Linked DNA regions of Mytilus edulis. The protein of the gene in region 2 purifies or fractionates together with the protein of the main gene of each other region. This does not show direct contact. Links are inferred from orthologs where the notes say so. Each region holds a gene or a part of one and is shown on either strand. Other genes may lie near its edges.

What was found.
Region 1: the proteins of S-phase kinase-associated protein 1 (region 2) and F-box/LRR-repeat protein 16-like purify together in Homo sapiens (affinity purification with western blotting; 5 studies listed by BioGRID and IntAct, with this or other methods). This does not show direct contact. The link is inferred for Mytilus edulis from reciprocal best matches to the Homo sapiens genes SKP1 and FBXL16.
Region 3: the proteins of S-phase kinase-associated protein 1 (region 2) and F-box/WD repeat-containing protein 8-like purify together in Homo sapiens (affinity purification with western blotting; 14 studies listed by BioGRID and IntAct, with this or other methods). This does not show direct contact. The link is inferred for Mytilus edulis from reciprocal best matches to the Homo sapiens genes SKP1 and FBXW8.

Annotation. Positions count from the first base shown.
Region 1 is NC_092352.1:75,839,610-75,846,573, forward strand, and holds the start of F-box/LRR-repeat protein 16-like, read right to left. Parts: upstream 3,011-6,964; 5' UTR 2,679-3,010; coding exon 1,561-2,678; intron 1-1,560. UniProt on the Homo sapiens protein: Substrate-recognition component of the SCF (SKP1-CUL1-F-box protein)-type E3 ubiquitin ligase complex.
Region 2 is NC_092350.1:58,848,917-58,856,813, forward strand, and holds the start of S-phase kinase-associated protein 1, read left to right. Parts: upstream 1-4,871; 5' UTR 4,872-5,004; intron 5,005-6,185; coding exon 6,186-6,282; intron 6,283-7,322; coding exon 7,323-7,537; intron 7,538-7,897. Other genes in the region: S-phase kinase-associated protein 1-like, read right to left, coding at 1,782-1,797. UniProt on the Homo sapiens protein: Essential component of the SCF (SKP1-CUL1-F-box protein) ubiquitin ligase complex, which mediates the ubiquitination of proteins involved in cell cycle progression, signal transduction and transcription.
Region 3 is NC_092349.1:74,090,880-74,098,742, reverse strand, and holds the start of F-box/WD repeat-containing protein 8-like, read left to right. Parts: upstream 1-4,853; 5' UTR 4,854-4,989; coding exon 4,990-5,496; intron 5,497-6,262; coding exon 6,263-6,367; intron 6,368-7,721; coding exon 7,722-7,863. UniProt on the Homo sapiens protein: Substrate-recognition component of the Cul7-RING(FBXW8) ubiquitin ligase complex, which mediates the ubiquitination and subsequent proteasomal degradation of target proteins.

The DNA of each region.
Region 1 (6,964 bases), on a different chromosome or scaffold from region 2:
TGTTTAAAAAATCTACCCTATTTTGACCTTGTGTCGACGGTATTCAGTCGTCTGGCATTTTATGGAGGCGTACTTCATATGGAAAGATGAATATGGTGTGATTACCAAAGACAACTCTCCCCCAGAGACCATATAAGTTTAACGTTGAACTTAGAAAATATAAGTCACCGTATGGCCTTCGACAATGAACAAGCCCATACCCGACATATTAAAGGATAAAAGGTCCCGGAATAACAAATGTTAAACAATTCAAAGGAGAAAACTGACTATCTGATTAACCTACAACACACTAAACGACAAACAATTAGAATATACAGCAAGAAACGACATCCACTAACAGGCTCCCGACTTAGAACAGACACATAATGGCATCAGGATTCATAATCCCTTTCGGGTTAAAAACAGCACGTAATATAGATCTCTAATATGGTCATGTAGATGTAATTACTGATGAAATCAATACAAAACGATAGTTTGATCACACGAGAGGAATTCGATATTTACAAAATATAAACTTAACTAGAGTATATACGAAACAGATTAGTATCAGTTCAAAGTTTCCACAGCTGTAATAGCAGACATTAAAAATAAATAGCACGGTGTGAAGAAACTATAAAGCTGGTTGATGTAAAATGGTCTTAAATCCAAGATTCAAAAATCTATAGCAATATCAATAATTGAGAACGTGGGAAGCTATAGCGACCTGGTGAGTCACCGCTTTATCGAGCGGTTTTATTCTCTCTTAATTGGTCCTGAGCATCTATATTTGTGTTGAACCACTCTATACTTCCAATCAACTTCCGTATGAAAATTGGTACTTTAAGGTCGATATATATATAAAGTTGTATAACTGAAATATATGGTGTTTTTTTTTTTATAAAATGTACAGTTTAATAGTCATAATGTCTGTTTCAGAAAAAATATTACATTAAAACTTTATTCATGCCAGTAATTCAGCCAGTCGAATTAAGACAGGCGACCACCAAAGATTGTCCAAAAAGGAAACACATGTAAGAGGGACTTCAGGGCGGTCCAGCCATTTTAAAAGGGACAGAAGGGGGGGGGTCCAAACATATGTCCCATTCAAATGGATTGATCGGTAAAAAAAGGGGGTTCCAACCCCCGGACCCCCCCCCCCATTTGGGTCCGCCAATGGGCTGGGAATGGGTTTTCATATCTTTATTCTTTGCAGTGTAGGGATATTTTCCCTATTCTTTTTTTATCTTCTATTCTTTGTAAAGAACTCCTTTACTCTCTTGGTGTACTTAATATTGTTGCCTTTTTTCTATACATTCTGTTTGCTCTTTTTTTTCTCTCACTATTCTCTCTATTCTATAAACCCAGTTACAATATGTCCAAATCAAAAGCCTCCATAAGATGAAACAGTAAAAATAAAACGACCATCAACCTAATTCCAGTAAATTACAATGTAAACGTTAACGAGACAGTAAACCAACAGCAAAACGTCAAGCATTCGAAGACATCCATGGTTGTAACTGTGCGGACATCAAGAGGGCTAGACGGCTTTAATTCGAGGTTAGGTTTGATATATAAACTTACCTATCAAGGGTCAGTTGTTCGAGTTGACTCAGATCACAAGCAATATATTCGAGTGAGGAATCTGTAATCCGAGGACACCATGATAGGTCTAAGCATCTTAACTTCCGAAGATTTTCGGTAATAAGTTCTATTCCATCGTCTGTTACCTTACTACACCCTGATAAACTAAGAACAGCTAGATTTGGAAGAGAATGTACGATATTCACAACCCCATGGTTTGTAACTTCCCAACAAGACTGAAGTCTAAGAACACTGAGAGAATAGCTCTGTTTGGTACTAAAAAAAGCTAAGGCAGCGTCAGTCACATGATAAGCCTGTATGTTCAGTTCGTAAAGCGCCGGAAGTAGTTGAGCAATAGCCCCAATTGTGTCGTCTGCAACATTTATGCAATCTTTAATGGATAAGGACACGATTTTGGGGTTAAGACATGACCACATACCCGTTTCTGTTATTTCGTTACATCCGTTCAGTTCTAACTTATAAATACATGGAATTTTCTTACACAAAATTTCAAGACCGACATCAGTTATATTAGAATTTCGTAAACATATAAACCTGATTTGCTTTTTGAATATCGCACAATGGTTAATAAAATCAGCAATTTCTTCGTCTATTGCGCCAAAAAAGCAAATCGAATCAAAACATCTAATTTGCAAACTCTCATAAAACAATCTTTTAAATTCCTCTGTTTTACCAAGATTACGTAGAATAATGACAGGCATTACATTTTCCCAGTACTTTGGATGGTAAAGTATATTTTTCCAAGTGTGACAAACTCGAGACAGCATGCCTCGTTCTTCAGCAGAAAAATAGTAGAAAAACTTCGATAAAAATCGGTCATCCATGAACAATTCGTGGATTGTATCAGGTTGGTGCCGTCCAAAAAGACTTCTAATTTTTCGTGCTATGAGTGGCTTTGGGGAACGGATCACACGAGCACTCATCGCAGAACTTCCGTTTGAAACATGTTTATTTATATTAATTGATGTTTCACGTGTCGTTGAAATTGAAATATGATTTGTTGAGACATGCGTTGTCGTCTGTTGTTGTTCCTTGCTGAATCGTAATCCTCGGATTCCATTCGATAATTCCATGTATGCTTTTCGAATCGTTGACATTTTGAATTTAATTTCCGATTGAATATAAATAAGAAATTAACATTTGCTGTCATTATTCCATATTCATAGATTCTGCCAATACAAATTAACCGATCAATGGTTATTTATAAGTCCATTTTGTAGGAAACAGATATTATAAAATCATTACTCACGGACGAAAATAGATGAAAACTGATAAGGTTCTATAAAAGTCAGAATAAACAATTTTCCAATCACTACTCCACTGTAAGAAGAATTCCTTATTTTCGAACGTGAAGTCTTTGTTCCAGTATGATAATTGACGACTTGGATCGCTTCACTTGAAGCAAGCGTGGGATCGATGTTTAAAACTCGATGGATCAATATTCTAATGGATGATGGTTATATTAGCCATGAAGGATGCATTACTATATGAATAAAAGAAGCTGTGGGGGTTAACTCAACAAGACAACAATCAACTGAAGCAAGTTAACCAAAATAAGACATTTATATACAATAAAAATAATTTATTACTATATGATTTTAATTCCCCAAATCACAATTTGAAAAGGATAAATCTTATATTTATTTTATTTATCTTTAAAAGAGCAAGTGCTCAAAAGTCAAAATAATTTATTAAATTGAATGAAAAACAAAGAATAATCCTCTTTGAAAATTTGGTCAATGATTTAGATGTCAATGACTAAGATCAACTTTTAATTCAAGTAATGAGTGTAAATTTCAGGATTAAAACAATAAATGTACATTGTCGGAAAATATGAAATGTATAGTTATGTTTTTATTATATAAGATATGATATTTTTATTCCAATTAAAGGGCCCATGAAGAGCAAAGTAATTTATTACAATGATTTTTAGAGTTGTTAACTTACAATAATGTTGACATAAACCATAAATGTGAATTTAACTATTTCAGTTCTTAAATGTTAACCACAGCCAGATCAGAGTCATACACATAAAAAAGGAATAACAATATATATGTATTATTATAAACAGGCAAATATTCTCAACGTCTTAAATAAAACAATATCTATATATATACTATATTGATAGTTTTCTCAGTTCCAATCGTCATGTTGTATATGTATTGGTTCCCGTTAAAAATTTCGTAATGAAGCAACAAAATTTTGTACAAATAAACTCATCATATATAGATACCAGGATTGAAATTTGTATTTACGTCAGACGAGCGTTTCGTCTACAAAATACCCACCAGTGACGCTCGAATCCAAAATAGGTTAAAAAGGCCAAATAAATACGAAATTTAAGAGCATTGAGGACCAAAATTCCTAAAAGTTTTGCCAAATACAGCTTAGGTTATCTATTCAGGAGGTATTTAAAAAATTCTCGCTTCCAATTATTGCACCTAAATGTTTATTGCAAAACACTTGGCCGTAATTATTTTCACTTAACATGTACTATTACATTTCATTGTATTTGATGATGTAAACATTTTTTTTTATGAAAGTGCGTACCAATCTTTTATCGATTCTGTAACCTTATCGGATATACATGTCACATACGTATCTAAAGATCTGGTAAAGGTCGTGTATATGGGGCGCCGAATGGGACTCATGTGATTTTGTACAAAATTCAATTTTGTGATGACAAAATTCATTTTTGTCGTGACAATGTCGTGACACTGAAAAGTCAATTTTGTCAAAAAGGTATGCAAATATAAACATACAAAATTGACTTCGGTTACCTGATATGGAAATTATAACACAAAAGTCAATTGTGTGAGACAAGATTCAATTTTGTGAGACAAAATTGACCTTAGTGAAACAAAATTGATTTTTGTGAGACAAAATTGACTTTTGTGAGACAAAATTGACTTTTGTGAGACAAAATTGACTTAGTGAGACAAAATTGACTTTTGTGAGACAAAATTCAATTTAGTCAATTTTGTCTCACAAAAGTCAATTTTAGAACTATAAAGTCGTGCTTAGAGATTAAACACTTTTATTATAAGCTACATGTAAATGTTCCGGACCATATGAGTATCTGGACCATACGCGTATGGTCATGACCATATGGGTATATACTCATATGGTCCGACCATACGCGTATGGTCGGACCGTACGCGTATGGTCGGGGTAATCAACACGTATACTTTTAAACTCTTCATTAGGTGTGACCCTTCTGATTGTTACGTCACTAAAATGTCATTTTATGTATATTAAAAAAAAAAAACAGTTTCGCACAGTTAATATTTCTTACTATTTGTAAGTACAATTATAAAAAGATGCCAAAATTAAATGAACATATTGTACAAGGAATTTTATTGTTTAAAGTAGGTGACATCACCGGCAAGGATCATGATATTTTTTAAAGATCATGATATTTTTTAAGACATTTTAAAAGTAAAATATTAAAAGTGTATGTTTCTTTATTTTTTCTATTCTTTTTTTCTATACTTCTATTTAATCTTAATTATAAGACGGTAAAATAGCATTTAAGAACCATGAAATAGCCACTGTCTTTATCTAATTTGATCTGTGAAATTCATTTTACGATATTGGAGATCTAGAGTTTCTCAAAAACACCGTAGACACATCGGAATTGTCCGAGTCGATATCACTGCACGCAGCCAAAACAAGCAATCTCAGAAAAACTACATGTATGGTACCGTGTGAATTTCATTTTAAGTATACAAAAGCATACACGAATACAATTAGCGATGAAAACTAAGATCAATTGACTGTGGCATCAATATTTAATGTTTATGTAGCTTTTGACATGTAAAATTAATACATTTTTTTGTAAACACATTTGTTTTTAAGATAAAGTTTTTTGTATTATTTCTATTGTATATTTGAAAAAATACCTATATGGTCCAAATACTCATATGGTCCGGCCCGTTAATAACCAAACGAGTATAATACTCATATGGTCCGACCATACGCGTACGGTCGGACCATACGCGTATGGTCGGACCATATGAGTATACGCATATGGTCATGACCATACGCGTATGGTCCGAATACTCATATGGTCCGGAACATAAACACGATTCTAAACACATTGTATTGAGACCCGTTTAGACCAAAACATGTAAAACAAAAAGTGCACAAAAGATGTGTTTAAAACATATTTTTTTTGAAAAAAAAGTTTGTTTCCAGTTTTTAGAGAAAAAAACAATTGTTTTTGATACTGAAAAAAAAAAATTGTTTGTTTCCCCAGCTCAGCTGCCACTAAATGTAAGCTAAAATCCAGAAAAAAAATCCATAGCCCCCTCCAGAAAATCAAATGGTTGCTGCCTTATTATTCATGTAAACATAGTGTTTGCTATAAAAGATTATACCCCTCTCTTGGGACCTTATTTGAAATAAATGAATACCTTTTATTCTATCATAAAAGTAATGTTTTCTATAAAAACATATTGTAATTCGATTCATCAGACTCCTGTAAATTTGTCAAACCATTTAACTTACTCATTAGACCAATATAAACTTATAACAGTGAAATATGGTATATGGATTGATATATTCATCCTTTTATAAAGCTTTAATTAAAGGAGATAAAACTAACAAAAAAGAAGATATTCTTAATTTCATTGACAAAAGTCCACCTGATAAAGTACTAGATAAATTTCATAAGTTAATTTTAGGGGTAAAAACCCTCTTGTAATGTAGCTGCTCGATCTGAATTAGGCAGCTACCCTATTGATTGCTTTATAAAAAGACAAACTCTTCTTTTTCATGATAGACTTTTAAGGGAAGAAACTAGCCCCTTACTAAAAGAAACACTAAATTTGGCAAAAACTTTACATAATGCAGGTATTTATTCTTGGTACTCCTATGTAAATCATGTCAGAATTCAAAATGATTTAGAAATTGTTAACCAAAATAAGGGGAAAAAAAATAGGATAATATACAAACAAAATTTAGAAAACTACTATGAAAATTTATATTACGATAAAATATTAAATTTACAAGAGAATTAACAAACTCCAACTTTTAAAAAAAAATAAAAAAAGCTATAACTTTGAACCATACATTGTTGTACCTACTTTCTCAAAACTTCGAAAGTAGACAACTAATTTGTAAATCTCGAATAAGTGACCACTGTTTATTAACAGAAACTGGTAGATACAGGAAAATTTCCAGAGATTTAAGACTGTGTACATATTGTGATGTACTAGATGAGGAGTTTCATTTCTTTTTTAAATGTAAAAAAAATGAACAATTAAGAAAAGAATGTTTAAATGAAAATAAATATAATAATTTAAATAATATAGATAAATTAAAACATATCTTCAATCCTGAAATAAAACAGGACACTTGCAAATTAGGCTCCTTTTTAAAA
Region 2 (7,897 bases):
ATGGAACAAGATTTAAGTTATTTCTGCATCAGACTAGATCATCAGACTAGATCATGACTTATTGACTGACAAAAAAGTGTTATTGGACCAAAGTTGAATTACATACACAAAAAAAAAAAAAAAAAAAATCTGATAACTTTTTCAGTATTAATACAAAAAAGAGACATCCAAAAAAATGTAAGTAAAAAAAATAATTCTATAACATCATGAACATGGGATCTACTCTTTAAATATAAGTAAAATGAAAGAATTTTGAAGGTTTTTTTATAGAAAATAATTATATCCATTAATACAAAATCACCACGATCACCAGTTAATTTCACAACACAAACTTGTGCATTATTGATACATTAAGCTGATGTTTGAAAATTTTGTAGGCAATTGTACATTTATATTGCACCTCTATTGGGTTACTGAGGATTCATAAACTTGTATCTACAAAATTAAAAGTTCAACAATTTATGCAAATTTTCTTTTGGCTTGTAATGCAGAATTTGGCAAAACCACAAAATGAAATATAGATCTAAAAAATACAATCTTTCCATGAAAATAAAGGTATCCACAGTACATTAGAAATGTGCAGTATGTATCAACAATTTCTAAACAGAACTCCAATGTCGCTGCAAAAAATATGATTATACTTGTCACCAACAATAATTATAGGTAATACACTGCAAAGTTATGGATCTTCTGTATTTATATTTCTCTGGTTGCCTAACCATTTTTCTTATAAATTGAAATTTAAAGTCCGAAAATATATGTTACATGTACATGTATACATAAAGGAAATATTTTCAAAAAGTACAAATTTACAGCTTGTAAAAAACTTTCCTTGCTTTACATAGAGATTAATACATGGCCTTTTCCATATCAGCCTGGGTATCATCCCGAGACCCCCATATCAGCCCGAGACGGAGTCAAGGTGCTGATATGGGTCGAGGGATGATACCCAGGCTGATATGGAAAAGGCCATGTATTAATCGCTTTATCATATACTTCCGACAATAGTTTTATGTATAAGGCAAATAAACTAAAATGCAATAACTAAAACAGTCAAACACTTTATAAAGAAAATTAAAATTATGAATCAAAATATACTATAGTTGTCCAACAACAGCATCATTAACTCCTTATATATTTATGGTAACATTTCCTATAGAGGCATTTTGAAACATTGAAAATTTGGAAGAGTTTTACGATCATTACTACTCCATGTTTGTTGTTCTATAAAATGATTCATAATTGTCAATGGCATTTGTTAGCAAGTATTAAACTACCCACACAAAAGTTCCCGTAAATTTTGACGTCGTCATAAAAAACATCTGACGTCACAATGGAAAAGTAAACAACCGATACCGGAAACACTGGAAGTAACTTGCAGGAGAGGCTCTATTATGGGTTTTGTGCACGAGATGCACCTGATATGGGCTATCAGCCCGGGTGGGAAATTATGGCTTGTGTACTTCCGCTCATTACACATATGCAAATGCTATCATATCAATGCTAAGTAAAAATGTACATGATAAATAATTATTACAATTGACACATATGGTAACCACACTTGATAAACATATATATGTCCCTGTCTCCTTGCTTAGCATGTACAAGCAGTTAAATATAAGCAATGAATCTAGTCATTTCATACCATAACCATTTTGTACCATTAACAATGATATTTTGCAATTAATAAAGCCATTTCATACCAGATGGGCCAACTGTTACGTATACCATTTGTATCAGATATACATATAAATGTAAATATATACATGTATAATACTTACCAATTTTCTTGTACATTTTGTAAGATCTAGATATTTTGAAAAAAACACAGCCAGTTTGGTGATTTTAACAGATTTAAATTAAATACTTTAAGGTAATTAATGTTTAAGTACGTAAATTGCTGAATACCTTGATCTCACAGAATTTTATGAAATTTTGAAACAAAAAGAGCACATAAACATAGAAAAATAATGCCTTGATACTTTATGATATATATGTAAAGCAAATTTAATCATTGTTAATCAGTCAAGGATGTAACTTAAACAAGTTATCAGAGAAAAATAACACGCATGTGTTATAACAGACACTATCATGAGTTGTCTACTCTTTTTTTCCTAAATCTGTAGTAACATATGTTTGTTATCAGTTAAATATATCATAAATATTTTATCTTTTGCAGGCTCTTGGGAATTCTTGAAACTTTGCGCAGTTGATAACTAATTTTCTAATTCCATTAATACAATTTTGACCAACCATAGTAAATCAATGAGACAAGGCCTTTTAGGGAAAATTAAGCTGTAATATGTTACAAGGCTTAGTTATTACAGGCATGTAACTTATCATATGAGAGTAAATGAGACACTTGGGAATTACTTGGAATCTTGGGCAGTGCCTCATTACAAGTTCTGATCATCATTTCTTACAATGAATTGAAATACATTGTGATATATTTCTGAGCAAAGGCTTTAAAGAGATGTAGAGAAGCTGTAATAACACCCTTTGGTTATTGCAGGAATATATTTTCTGTAATAACATAGGTGTGCTGACTATGCATGACTGGAAAACTATGAACTGCTATATCTTTGCAAAGTTTAGTATACATAAAGAAAATTATAATATCAATAGAACTTGTGAAAAATTTAACAAAATAAAGTTTGTATATAACTGTTATTAACATGTATAATGTCCCTTTGAAACATGTAACATACAAATGTTATTATGGTATTTTGATATTTAAGACCACAAAAACGACATGTTTGTTATTTTTCTCTAATAACTTATTTTAGTTACACCCTTGACTGTTAATATTTATTAAAAAAATCAGAGTAAAAATGTAAAAAAAAATGTAAAGAATACACTTTCACATTAACAGTGTCAAAAAAGTAAAAATGTATGTTCATTATTATACGTAGGAACAATTTAAAAATTTTATTTTATCATGTTTATACCTCCCTTTTAAAACTAAAATAAACATAACTCTAACATTCTAACAACTTTACAGACTAAATGGACTAGCTGAATTGCCAGTATTGCTATACATAGCACTTGCAGCATTGAGCAGATCCAGCTTCATACACAATGGGTATTTATGGTTATAAATATATAATAATTTAACAAAATAGTTAATTCTTCTTCTTCTTCCAAGTAACAGTAAGGAACCGAATTCATATTGAATCAGAATCAATGTGGATTAATATGGATTGAAATTGAGGTACTTACCTTCAAAAATTCTTGCCCAAATTAACTTAACGGTTATTTTTGGTGCATGACGATAAAATGTACACTTTCTTTCAGACGATAAAAAAAAATAGACTTATTTTGAACGAATCTCATTAATTTTCTTCCATATTTGTTCCTATAATTATCTGAGACCTCTTATAATTCACGATAATGATATTTAGACAAATCAAGGTAAAGTTTTAATCGGTTTGATGCAAAAGATAGTAAAAAATAAACCATTTGAATCCTGACGGTAAAGCGCTCAGGGCATTATCGTCTATCCTCAAGTTCATTAGCCCCATAGGACGCAATTACGACTGGACACAATTACGAACGATTTCCAATGTTTGCCCTCTGAGATCATATTCCTTTATATTTAACAATAAATGTTTTTATAAATAAAAATCCTATTAAAATTCCCTTGTTTTCATGATAATACAATTTATGTGCACTTGGTGAAATGTTGATTACGATGACAAAATCATTCTGAAAATATTATAAGAACGGCAATCTGGCCTGAAAGTTTTATAAAAAAAACCATAAAGGTAAGTGCATATTGCCTTCTTTTGTTAATATATAGAAAGAAAAAGATCTCCTGATTCTGTTCATGTGCATGATGCCTTTTATCTTGCCCAAATAACCCCACAATTGACTTTTTTAGACGCTTTTGACCCTATTTATGGTCAAAAGAAAATATGTTAATTTTATTGAAAAGTCCAGAAAACTCCGAAAAAAATGTTGACCTATATAAAAAAAAATCATAGATGAATAATAAATACACCACCGAAATGGATAAACTTGAATTTAGTGCTCCTTTAAAGGAGAAACTTATACAAAAAAAAAAAAAAATCAGAAATCTTTCCTTTACACATGACCGACATTTCGTCTGCAACCACTGCTGAAGTAATTGAAGTAAAAAACAAACTTGTGCATCTTATTTTCCTATGAAAATGTGTTTGAGATAAAGGTTAATGTATGCTTTATCAATCTAGACTATTGTCATTGATTTCTTCTGCAAGATATATCAATATAGTGCTGTTCGGAATTGCGTCCATATGTGGCTCTCTTGACACGTAAAACGAGGTCACGCAAATCTTACTAAAGTATCCTAACGTGAATAAAAATTTATGTGGGATATGATGCAAAATGGAAAGCCTTCATACATCTTAAATTCTATGGTATAAAAAATTATAAAAAAGAAAAGTAGTCTACATAAAAAAATATTAATCATAGTTCAAAAATCGTCCGGTGAGGCTAATGAATTTAAAACCGTTAATTATAGACTTCTACAACTGAGTACAACATTACTATTTAAACAAAATTCACATGCTTTTAATGTAAATATTTGTAAAAGATGATGCTGATTTTTTATGTACTTTTAAATGGTAACTAATGTAAACAAAGTCAAAAAGTGCCTGACTATTTTTCTAAGTCAGCATGTGTAAAAAATAATCATATCACATGCAACCATTTCACATTATAAAAGATAGTGAAACTTTGATAAACTTATACTTTTTGCGTTCTGTGTCTTTCAATAAAACAAGTGTCAGCTAGCGTTTTGTCTTTTATTCAAGGGCAGTAATTCTATTTATATCGGGAATTTCGAGGTTGTTCGTCTAAATCAAGGTAGAGTACAAAACTATCCAAAAGGCAAAATAGATTATCGCCCCTTAATCACAGGAGGCGCTTATAAATTTTAGATTCAGCTCGTTTCCGATATATTTTTGTGTTGTTTCAGACGAAAGACAAAGATTTAACACCCCGTTATACACACAGAAGATCAGAGTAATGTCTTAAAATGAACTACACTGTTCTAAATTCAATTTGTTTTCCAAAATATTTACTGAATTATAGACTTGTATGCTCTTGCCAACAAATATGGCGCATTCTTTTTTGTTGACACCGTTTCTCAGACAAGTCATCTACAAATATAGACACATGTGTCATTTTATGTGAAAAGAGAATTAATTTCATTACTTCAAAAAACAATCGAACAAGATATTGATGATTTCAAAATTAAAATAGTCCCAAAAATGATATTCAATGTAGAATAAAATATATTGACTTTGCTGTCTTTAGTGTCAAAACACCAAATAAAAGTTTCCCCCTCTCAGTATCACATTACTGAGGGGGGATAGGATCTTTATGGGCACTGCAGGATCAGGTGTTTTTAAGCTCAGGATGTTGGGATTGAACCTTTCATGATATGGGAATTCTTTTTTTGATTTCGGGATGTCAGGATTTAAATTGATTAAATTCCCGACCTCAGGATTTCATGTTTTCAAACCCAGGATTCCGGGATCAGGACCTCTCCTGTCCGGCTGAATAAGTAATTTTTCTCTAAAGACTTGTAAAAAACGACAGAGAAAGGCAATTAATCAAAAGCTAGAAGATTTCAAACAGCTTTAGCTATCAAACTCTAATTATCTTTCATTGTTTTTACTTCTACCAAGCTATAATTTATCTACTTGTATTCTGTTTTAAACACATTTATAACATTTATTCCAATGAGCTTTGTAAATACAGACAGTATAAATCCATACCCGCCAACTGTCACTATTCGCGGGGGATTTCCCCCATGGAGGCTCCCAAGTGGAAATTTTGTAAGAGCAATTTTGTCCACTATTTTAAAGAAAACAATTTAACAATGGCTATGAGCTTGTTAAAGCAGGAAGAAACCAAAAAACCACATTAGAATATATTTGAAGGCCCCTTTGAAGGTTTTGTAGGACAATAAGAATCATCTTTCACGTAAAACCCCCATGGGCATTTTGAAAAGTTAGCAGGTATTTTAATCTTAAATACAATGTATATCACAATAAATCATCTAATTGCAACAACAAATTTAATTTAAATTGTGTCACTTTTACCATTCTTGAGTTATGCGTCTTTAGAATGTTATAGGCTAGTTATAAGCCTGGTACCTTTGATGATTAACATGACTATGACTAATTATTATCTTTTAGATGCCTAATATCAAGTTACAGAGTTCAGACGGAGAGATATTTGAAATTGAGGTTGAGATAGCCAGACAGTCTGTCACAATTAAAACTATGTTAGAAGGTAAACTGTTGAAGAAAAAATTGTTCCTCAGTCATATTTTGATCAGTGTACTGATAAAATCTACCATGTGTAGCGTTAAAGGCTAGCATGCATTATAAATTTGATTGAGAAAAAAAATTGTGAATAAAGCTGTAGAACAAGCACTACATAAGCAACTCTAAAAGCTCGACTTTTGTTAAAAATAGTATGAAACATGACTGAAAAAAAACTTAATTCCAGGTTACTATATATGTCATGTATGTAAAATTCATTACACAAATTTCACACATGACAAAATTTTATGTAATTGAAAAGAATTTATATAAATTGTTCCTCATCATCTAGAATGTGTCCATAATTAATTGGTATATTTATATAGCTATAGCTATGAATCATGAAATTGCAGCAACATCAGAGAACATTTTGCCAGGCCTGAGTTTTCATAAAAATATTGATACATTTATTATTAATAAAAAAATCGGTTTTAAATTGAAATTTGAAATGTTGATCAGATCAAGTTGTAATTTCTCATAATTTATTACTTTATAAACACATTTTTTATTGGAGGAAAATTTAATAAAATATAGGATTGGACTGATACATATTTATCTTCAACTGACATATTTCAAAAAATTATCCCTCAAGACACATATCTTTAAATGAAAAATGAGGGGGGGGGAGTGTATTAACACTGACATTACATTTTACAAAGATATGGTATTTTTATGCCCCTCCTATGACATGTATGATAGTAGAGGGGCATTATATTTTCTGGTCTGTGCGTCCGTCCGTCTGTTCATTCGTTCATCCATTTTTCTGTCTGCCTGTCCTGCTTCAGGGTTAAGGTTTTGGTTATGGTTTTGGATGAAACTGAAGTCCAATCAACTTGAAACTTAGTACACATGTTCTCTATGATATGATCTTTCTAATTGTAATGCCAAATTAGAGTTTATACCCCAATTTCACGGTCAACTGAACAAAGAAAATGATAGTTCGAGTGGGGCATCAATGTACTAAGGACACATTCTTGTCTATTTGTAGTCTAATGTGTATATTTATAGATCTGGGTGTTGATGAGGATGATGAAGAGCCTGTACCCTTGCCTAATGTAAATGCTGGTATCCTAAAAAAAGTTATTCAATGGTGCACATACCACAAAGACGACCCACCACCTCAGGAAGATGATGAAAACAAAGAAAAACGCACAGATGATATTTGTTCCTGGGACGCTGAATTTCTAAAAGTTGATCAAGGGACATTATTTGAATTAATATTGGTAATTTAACATTTGCATATTCAGCAGTTCTATAATCAGTCAGGGGACTTACTGAAATAAATGATTTTTAAATCACTTATTTGAGTAGCAAATTCAAAGTTTTGTCACAAATTGGGATTTTGTAGTTTTTTTCAAAATTTTAAACACATAGGTTTAAATAATATCTTTTAATTAGTAAAATTGAAAAAAATGAACTTTTTGCTTCTTTTAAGTAGCAAGGTTTATGCCTTTGATGCTATCATTTAGCTGAAAATTCTATTTTAGTTGAAATGCTATAATAATGGCTTTACATAATGAACTAATACTTTCTTAACAGATTTTTCCCAGCAGTGGGAGTATTTTTCCTGTAAAGTTCAAGGT
Region 3 (7,863 bases), on a different chromosome or scaffold from region 2:
GCGGATCCAGCCATTTTAAAAAGGGGGTTCCCAACCCAGGACAAAAGGGGGGGTTCCAACTATATGTCCACATTCAAATGCATTGATCGGCCAAAAAAGGGGGGTTTCAACCCCCGGACCCCCCCCCCCCCCCCACCCCCCACCCCCTGGATCCGCCAAAAATGCAAAAATTCGGAATAACTAAAAATGTCAAAGTTTCAGTACGTTTTCGATACAGAACAATTCTCAAAACCATTTTTAGTTGCATTTAATGTACAAATGCATATCAGTATATACAGTAAGAGATCAAAAGTCTTTTTCACAATTTGAAAATTCTGCTTTATACTTCACATAAAACACATTTTTATAAAAAAAAAAAAAAACTCCTACCATAGACATATATGTTTCTGTTTCTACTAAAGTTATTTTTTTTCTCGATTTGAATGATCCTCAGTTCTTTATTATCATTTTCGGAGACGTTTTGTTCTTCTCCATGAACTCACTGGCTTCAAATCGGGACGTTTGCACTTTTTTTAATGTACATTCGCGCTTCAATTCATAAGACATTTGCGATTTTACAATATTTCTTTATGGTTAAAAGTTAAACATTCTATAACACATTCGCGTTTAAAAATAATTTTATAGCGCATTGATATAGTTATATGTATACCTAAAAGTGAACATTTGACATTATGAAGACACCAAAGACACATAAAGTTATCACAGGCCAGTTTTCGCCTAATATCTGAAGCCCAAGAAATAAACAATTTTGCTTTTGTAATCTGTCCTGACTGGTATTTTCCCCTCATTTTTATTATATACAAGTACACACCCGTGATATCGCGGGTCCGTGGCTGAATTAAAGTATATAACTATGCCTAAGCCTTATTTTAGTAATTAGTATTGTCATCTGATAAAGTCATGTCGATTATAAGATAAAAAGTTTTCTCTGCTTTCAAATCTTTCTGTTTGAACCCGTCGACCTGGAACTTATCAGTTATTTATAATAATATTAATTATTTGGAAAACAAAAGGTCCTGGCTATCCAGGAATGGAGTATTTTTTAATCAACAGCATTGTCCTATATTAGTTATCTTAGAAAGTCTTGCTGATTGCTGAATAAAACTACAATAGGGAACAATTTGACAATGATTGAATTTAGTAGTGTCAGCCCTTTGATTATGACCCGTATATATAGTAAAATCCTAAATACACCGTTTGGTGGTGCGCCTGTCAAATGCGGAACGTACAGATAAGGTAATAGCTGACAGGTGAATATACTATTGGTATCGGTATCGGATTCGACCCGGAACTTGTTAATTATTGGCAATATTAATTATGTGGAAAACAAAAGGGTCTGGAGTGGTGTAATTTTTAATCTACACCATTGTCCTATATTAGTTATATATAGAGTTGAATTCTTTGATTTGTCGTTTTTACCCGATGACGGCTGACAAATTGGACCTCGTAATTTTAGTATTATAGATTCTAGTCTCTTTTTTTCATTTCTTGACTGACATGTCTGTTCGTCAATATATAACGAATGCTAATATTATAAGCCGACTGTTGTTCAACGGTAAAAATCCATCGTGACATAAACATTTTTTCCTGTACTTGTCTCTATATTTTTATACTCTAATGTTTGAGACTGTGTCTCCCTTGACATCATTTACGAGTATGGTCTTCGAAGGAATCGATTCTAGTCCGTCGGAAGGGGACGTTAAATGGCTGACCCATGTTAAGAGAGAGCCATATCTCAGCTTGCACGTAAAAGATACCCTTGTAGATTTCGAAAAAGAGTAGGCTAATGCCGCTACAAGACAACACTCGCACCCGCAAAGTGGAAAGGGATTGATATAAGTTGAAATAACTTGTTTTCCCAATTCCCTATAAACAAATATGTTTAAACTAAGACGGTGTCAGTGCGAATTTTACTACAATTGTATCAAAATTTAAAGGGCAGATGACCACAGTCTGTGGAGCGCAGATGTCATATCGTGTTACAGGTTAAAAAAAAGCGCAAACATCTTGTGCCCAACAAATTTACAACTTACCAATTAGTTCCTACAAAGAAAGATTTAAAAATGATTAAAATTGTCAACACAGATACGAATATTTTGTTTTAGGTTTCATGAAGCTAGAGATAAATCCTCACACAAAAACACTGAGTACTGTGAAACTGACAATAATCATTACGATGCTTGATTTTTATTACTGACCACATTTTTGATACGTTTGGAGGACGTGTTTTCTAACAGTTAGTCGGAATTTATGTGGGAACCAATTGACTGAGGTCATTTTCTTCTGATATGATCTATTATTTCATCTCACATTATAACGACGATCCTTCTCGCTGAATAATTCACACTTGATCCTTTCAAACTTGAAACAGACAAATCACATATACAAATAGGTCTAAGCCTGCCTTTGTGTGCGTGATTTTCTCACATAGTGTTGAAGATCTTTATAGGTGGCCTTGTGCTGTTTTCTGCTCTTTGGTAGGGTTGTTGTCTCTTTGACACATTCCCTATTTCCATTCTCAAGTTTATACTATATGATAAAAACTTATACCTAGATATTCACAATGAAGGTTCGCTGAGAGCTAAATTTAAGGCAAAGAAAATAATTTTAATTACTCCATTTTGAACTTTCTATGTTATGTAGCAAGCTACATTCCTGTAGGAATACATATCCTTAGCTTGCGTTCTACTTTATGATTTCTTCGATGGAGCATTATTGCTTACAAGGAATTCGAAGCTATTGTATCAAGGCTCCTAAATGTAAAAAGTAAGTAATTCTTTCAGTGATGATTTAATAACGGACACCATCATAATTTGATTTGCTGTATGGAATATATCTGTGATATAGATGACCACGGATATTCTTCACTTTTCGTGCCTAAAATCCCGACCCATTTTTCTTGATTGTGACATCAACAAATACAAGTTATCCATGATTTTACTAACTTAGTCTATGTGTTGGTTTTAAATGTTGTATTGTGTTTGATACTTTTATTATGTCAATGCTGTGTTCATTTCAATCTGTCATGTCGTATTCAATCAAATTCGTAGTTAAATAATCTATGTCAGTACGATAGGTTATGATGTGTTAGGGTTAGGGTTAAGAGAAATCCGCCTATCCTCTAATTAATACTGCGAAGCTAATGGGTAAAAAGTTAAGATAACAAGATAACAAGTGCCATGGCTATTTTTTAATCAAAAAAATTGTTTATTGAAAGAAAAAAAAATATTAACAGGGAAATTACCTTCTTCCTTTAAAATGATTTTTGTAAAAGTATTAATCTCTACACGTGCTTCATGTAAAACAATGCCGATTAAAATACATTTTAAGGAGAAGATACGGGGGAAAATTGTAATATGAAATATTGTTGATTCATCTACATCTCAAAACCAGCACCCCAGTACTATCTACTTTTGTTTGTAACTAGAGCAAAGCCAGCACATGTCTCCACTTGCAAACATGCAAATGGATTGTTGGTGCTGAATCAATCGGAACAACTCGGCCTTTCTGGTTGCACGAAGAAATAACCTCGTATGCATTAGGCGGAGGAATCATTGTCCGGAAAATTTTCCGATTCGATTCAAAATTATATTTTTTCGACTGGACTGGTACATTTTTTTTACCACTACTGATTTAACTTGCTCCTGTCCGGAAAATTTTCCGATCTGATTGAATTTTATATTTTTTCGACTGGAATGGTACAAATTTTTTACCATTACTTATTTACTTTGCTCCTTCTTTCGCGCCAAAATATTTGGCAGAGTTAAAGTTCTTGATTACTGTGATATGTAACCAAATTATAGCGCCACCTGGAGGATAGAACTTCTTTGTGTCGCGGATCACTACAATTCCGGCCAACAATTTAAGAAGAATTTCTCCGTAGTGCATACGAGGCTATTGTACTGCGTAGCGAGAATGGCCGAGTAGTTACGATTGGGTGCTGAATTTTACATCCCAATGAAGCTCAAATCAAATTTAACAGTGAAATTTTGAAGAAAAAAAGGTAAAATATTTTTTATTATAAATCAAAAATTACACAAAATACCGAACTCCAAGGAAATTTTAAGTCCCTTATAAAATGGCAAAAATCAAAAGCTTAAACACATCAAACGAAAACAACTGTCATATTCCTGTCTTGGCTTGTATGTATGTATGTATGTATGTACTGGTAAATGCCTCCGATATCCGAAGAACCCCTCGAAAACTGCGAGGGTACAGTGGCATCCATGTACACTCCCTAACGGGATTAATGGAGATGTGTCACTAACGTATGTTTATACGACAATTATTTTTACAAGGACAATCAATCCCCACCCAACACAAAGGGAGTGCTAGGACACCGGGCAGTCTGTTATTATGGTGGAGGAAGCCGAAGTACTCGGAGAGAACCACCGGGCCACTCGGTGGAAAACAGACAAACCAGAGAGATATCAGAAGATTGATCTCCAGGTCAAAGTAAGGGACAACTTTGACCAACCGAGGCCCCCAAAGTACCCATTCTAGTTTAAACTCCGGTCTGGGTACCAGAGATGTGTGTGAGAGGGTGAAAATTACCCTTCTGATGTGCTGATATTTTTAGCACCCCGAGTGAGAATCGAACTCGGGACCTTCAGCACTGTAGCCATCGGTCTTAACCACTAGACCACGCTTGTACATTTTTGTCTACATGTTATTTTTTTCCATTATTTTCTATTCTGATAATCCCACAAAGACCTTCATAATATTTGTATCATGCGGTCTTATAATTTACGGAAATAGTTGTCTGAATTTTTCTAAATTTTCATATGGTAATAGGGCAGACCTAAAAAGTCTTTTCGGATTGATCGAACTTTTATGAAGAATTAGAGAGCTTCCGAGACGAACGTAAACAAACGTTACAGTATCACATGTACAGCTGTACATTGAAGTATGTTATCTATTAGAGTTTGACCCGTTGAAAGTTTAACTATACATATGCACTGTTAACTTTATATTTCATACTCACATAGCATGGCATCAAATGACCTTGAAAAGTTCCGAACTGAATGGAAAAACGAACTTCAAGGGAGTAATGTCATTCCAGATAAAAGAGGACAAAGTTCAATAGCTGTTGCTCCTACATTAGCAATCGATATTGTCCTCCCAGAAAATATATCTAATACCTCGAATTCCAATCCAACAAATTGTTCTGAGTGCAGAGTTCACCCAGCTTTTAGGGAAAATAACAAGTGCCATACTTGTTTATTTGTCAATAAACAAAATAAAGAACATAAAACCAACACTCAGTTCTACCCATTCCAAATAGTTGATGGTCTTCTTAATTCAAAAGATAACATCAAACAAAGTTGTAGTCCGGAAAGAGAGTTATTATCAAATACTAAAGTGACAAGCACCTGTGAGAAGAAAAGAAAATATGATGCATTCAGAAAGGAAGACGTGAAAGACATCTTTTCCAATAAACAAGGTCGAAAGGAGGTTGATAAAGAGAGCTATTTAGACTTGTTTATTGCTGATTTGGTAAGATATTTTTTATAGAGTTAATGAATATACAACATTTGTCAGTGTTACATAATCTACATTTATATATATATATATTTCCAATACTATGAATAATGCTGATACACCAATAGAATTTGATTTCCATTGGAGGAAATGTTAACATTTTCCTATATATAAATCTTAGTTCTCACAACAACGTAGAATTGAAACCAAACATCAAAATTGATTGTCTTGCAAATTTCATCAAATAGCATTTTCATATTTTATATAAACATGCTTCTATGGTAAAGTGTCGGTTTTGATATGTATTTTGTCCTAACCGATTCCTCATTACTATTTTAGCGTATTTTGCCACAGCATTTGTTGGGCATCCAAGCTGACCTTGTTCCATTTTATGTATATAGTTTTGCACTTTTTTATACTTTGAGGACTGATCGAATCAGATGAGTGTGTGAGTTTAGTATGTTTTATTTTATTGCATTATATTATGTTTGGGGAAGGTTAACTTTCTGGTAATAAGACCCGTCACAGCCTGGCTGGGGAATTGGGTAGGCAAATGCTCACACTAATCTGTACAGATACAGGCTCCAAATGTCCTCCTTTTTACGCCATAACTCATGGTGGTGCTCCTAATTAAAGGAGACTCATACAGAGACAAGAAGAAGGTAATAGAAAAGAATCAACAGTTTTTTTTGTCTTCTAACATGTCTGAACTGATTACCAAATTGGAGTTGTAATAAAAATCAATTTGCTGTTGTTTTTAATTTATTAATTTCTATTTTAGGATGAAATAAATGAAATTCCATTTTTTGATCTGACAGTCCCAAGGGAGGTTGCAATAAAAATATTTGAACCTCTTGATCTCAAAGACTTGTGCAGATGTTCTCAGGTGAGTGCAATGAATGATATCATGTATATTTATATGTAGTTATTATATGGTTGGCACCTGGTGTAAAATTTGAAATTAGAAAAATTTTCATCCTGATACTGTGGATTCATTATAATTTGTTGGACATTGTTGTGGACAATTTTCGTGGATTTCGTGGCAACAGATGAAACACGAAATTAAATGTTCAACGAATACCAAATTTTATATCTCATTACTCAGTATGCTCATACTCGTAGCATCAACGAACTTGTTTACTGTTGCATCGCATTTACTTCATGATTTATCCTACCATTTTCCTAAAATCGGTCAAGAGCAATTAAGGGAAGGCAACTGTTTAAAAATAAAATGATTTTATTGACTCAAAACGATAATTTTCTCTGTCATCGCTTATGTTTTTTCGATTCTGAAGTCGATATTTAAACCAAATGTAAAGACTAATTTCCGGGAATAGTATTTTTTATCAAATTCACAGGAAATCATCAGCTTTTTAATATTTTACCTTTTAAAGTGTAAGAATATTAATGAAAATAGTTGCACTTGCTTTATTTAGCATAAAATCATTTTAAATTTACGATTTAGTGTCTAATCTGCGGAAGGGCATTTCAAGCAAGCATATTACATGGTAAACAAAGCACGTGTGTTAGTAGTGAAAAAATACTTTTTCAAATAAATCATAATTGACAATTGTCTAAGCTGAAAAGTAATTAAATAACGAAGACAGTTGGTATGGAATTTTAATTTCTTTATAATATTAGTTCAGAGCTTGTGATTAATAACCAGGTGTGAATTAAAAACACAGGTAAAGAGATTAGCAATCATTAGCCAATAGCTCCCCGAGGCATTAAATATAGTTATTAGGAGGGCCCTCAGGATTATAACACTCTACTGGAGTGGCAGGTTAATTATATAAAATCGATAACAAAACAAAAACATCTTCAAAATGGTGATTTTGAAACTCGATCTCCAAGAAATGACCGAAATTATTTCTGTTGAAAAATAGAATTTGACCTAAATCCCAATTACACGTTTAGGACAAAATACTTTCAGTTTAGGACAAGATTGGCAAATATGACTGTTTCTGGACCCTTGCTGTATATCATGTATACAATGTATAAACATGATAAACCTCTAATGATATTTTTTTTTGTTTCAGATACAAATATATACTTTTGTTAAAACCAGGATGTTGATACAAGGCTGATTTTGTTTTTGGTTTACTTCTGTGTTGATGTTTACTCTATATGTATATCTACTTTATTTATAAGACACATGACACACATTGATTATTTAATATTTTTTGTGTTGTCAATTTCCTTAATGACTTTAATAGTTTACTCATGGTTTGTTATTTTAGGTTTCAAAGAGTTGGAAAAGTTTAGCAGATGATGAGTTATTATGGAATAGAATTTGTCACAAGCTTGGTTATGAACAAGATACAGATGCTGTAGATAAATCCAAGTGGAAGACTGTAGTTAGACATCATATTGAACAGGAAA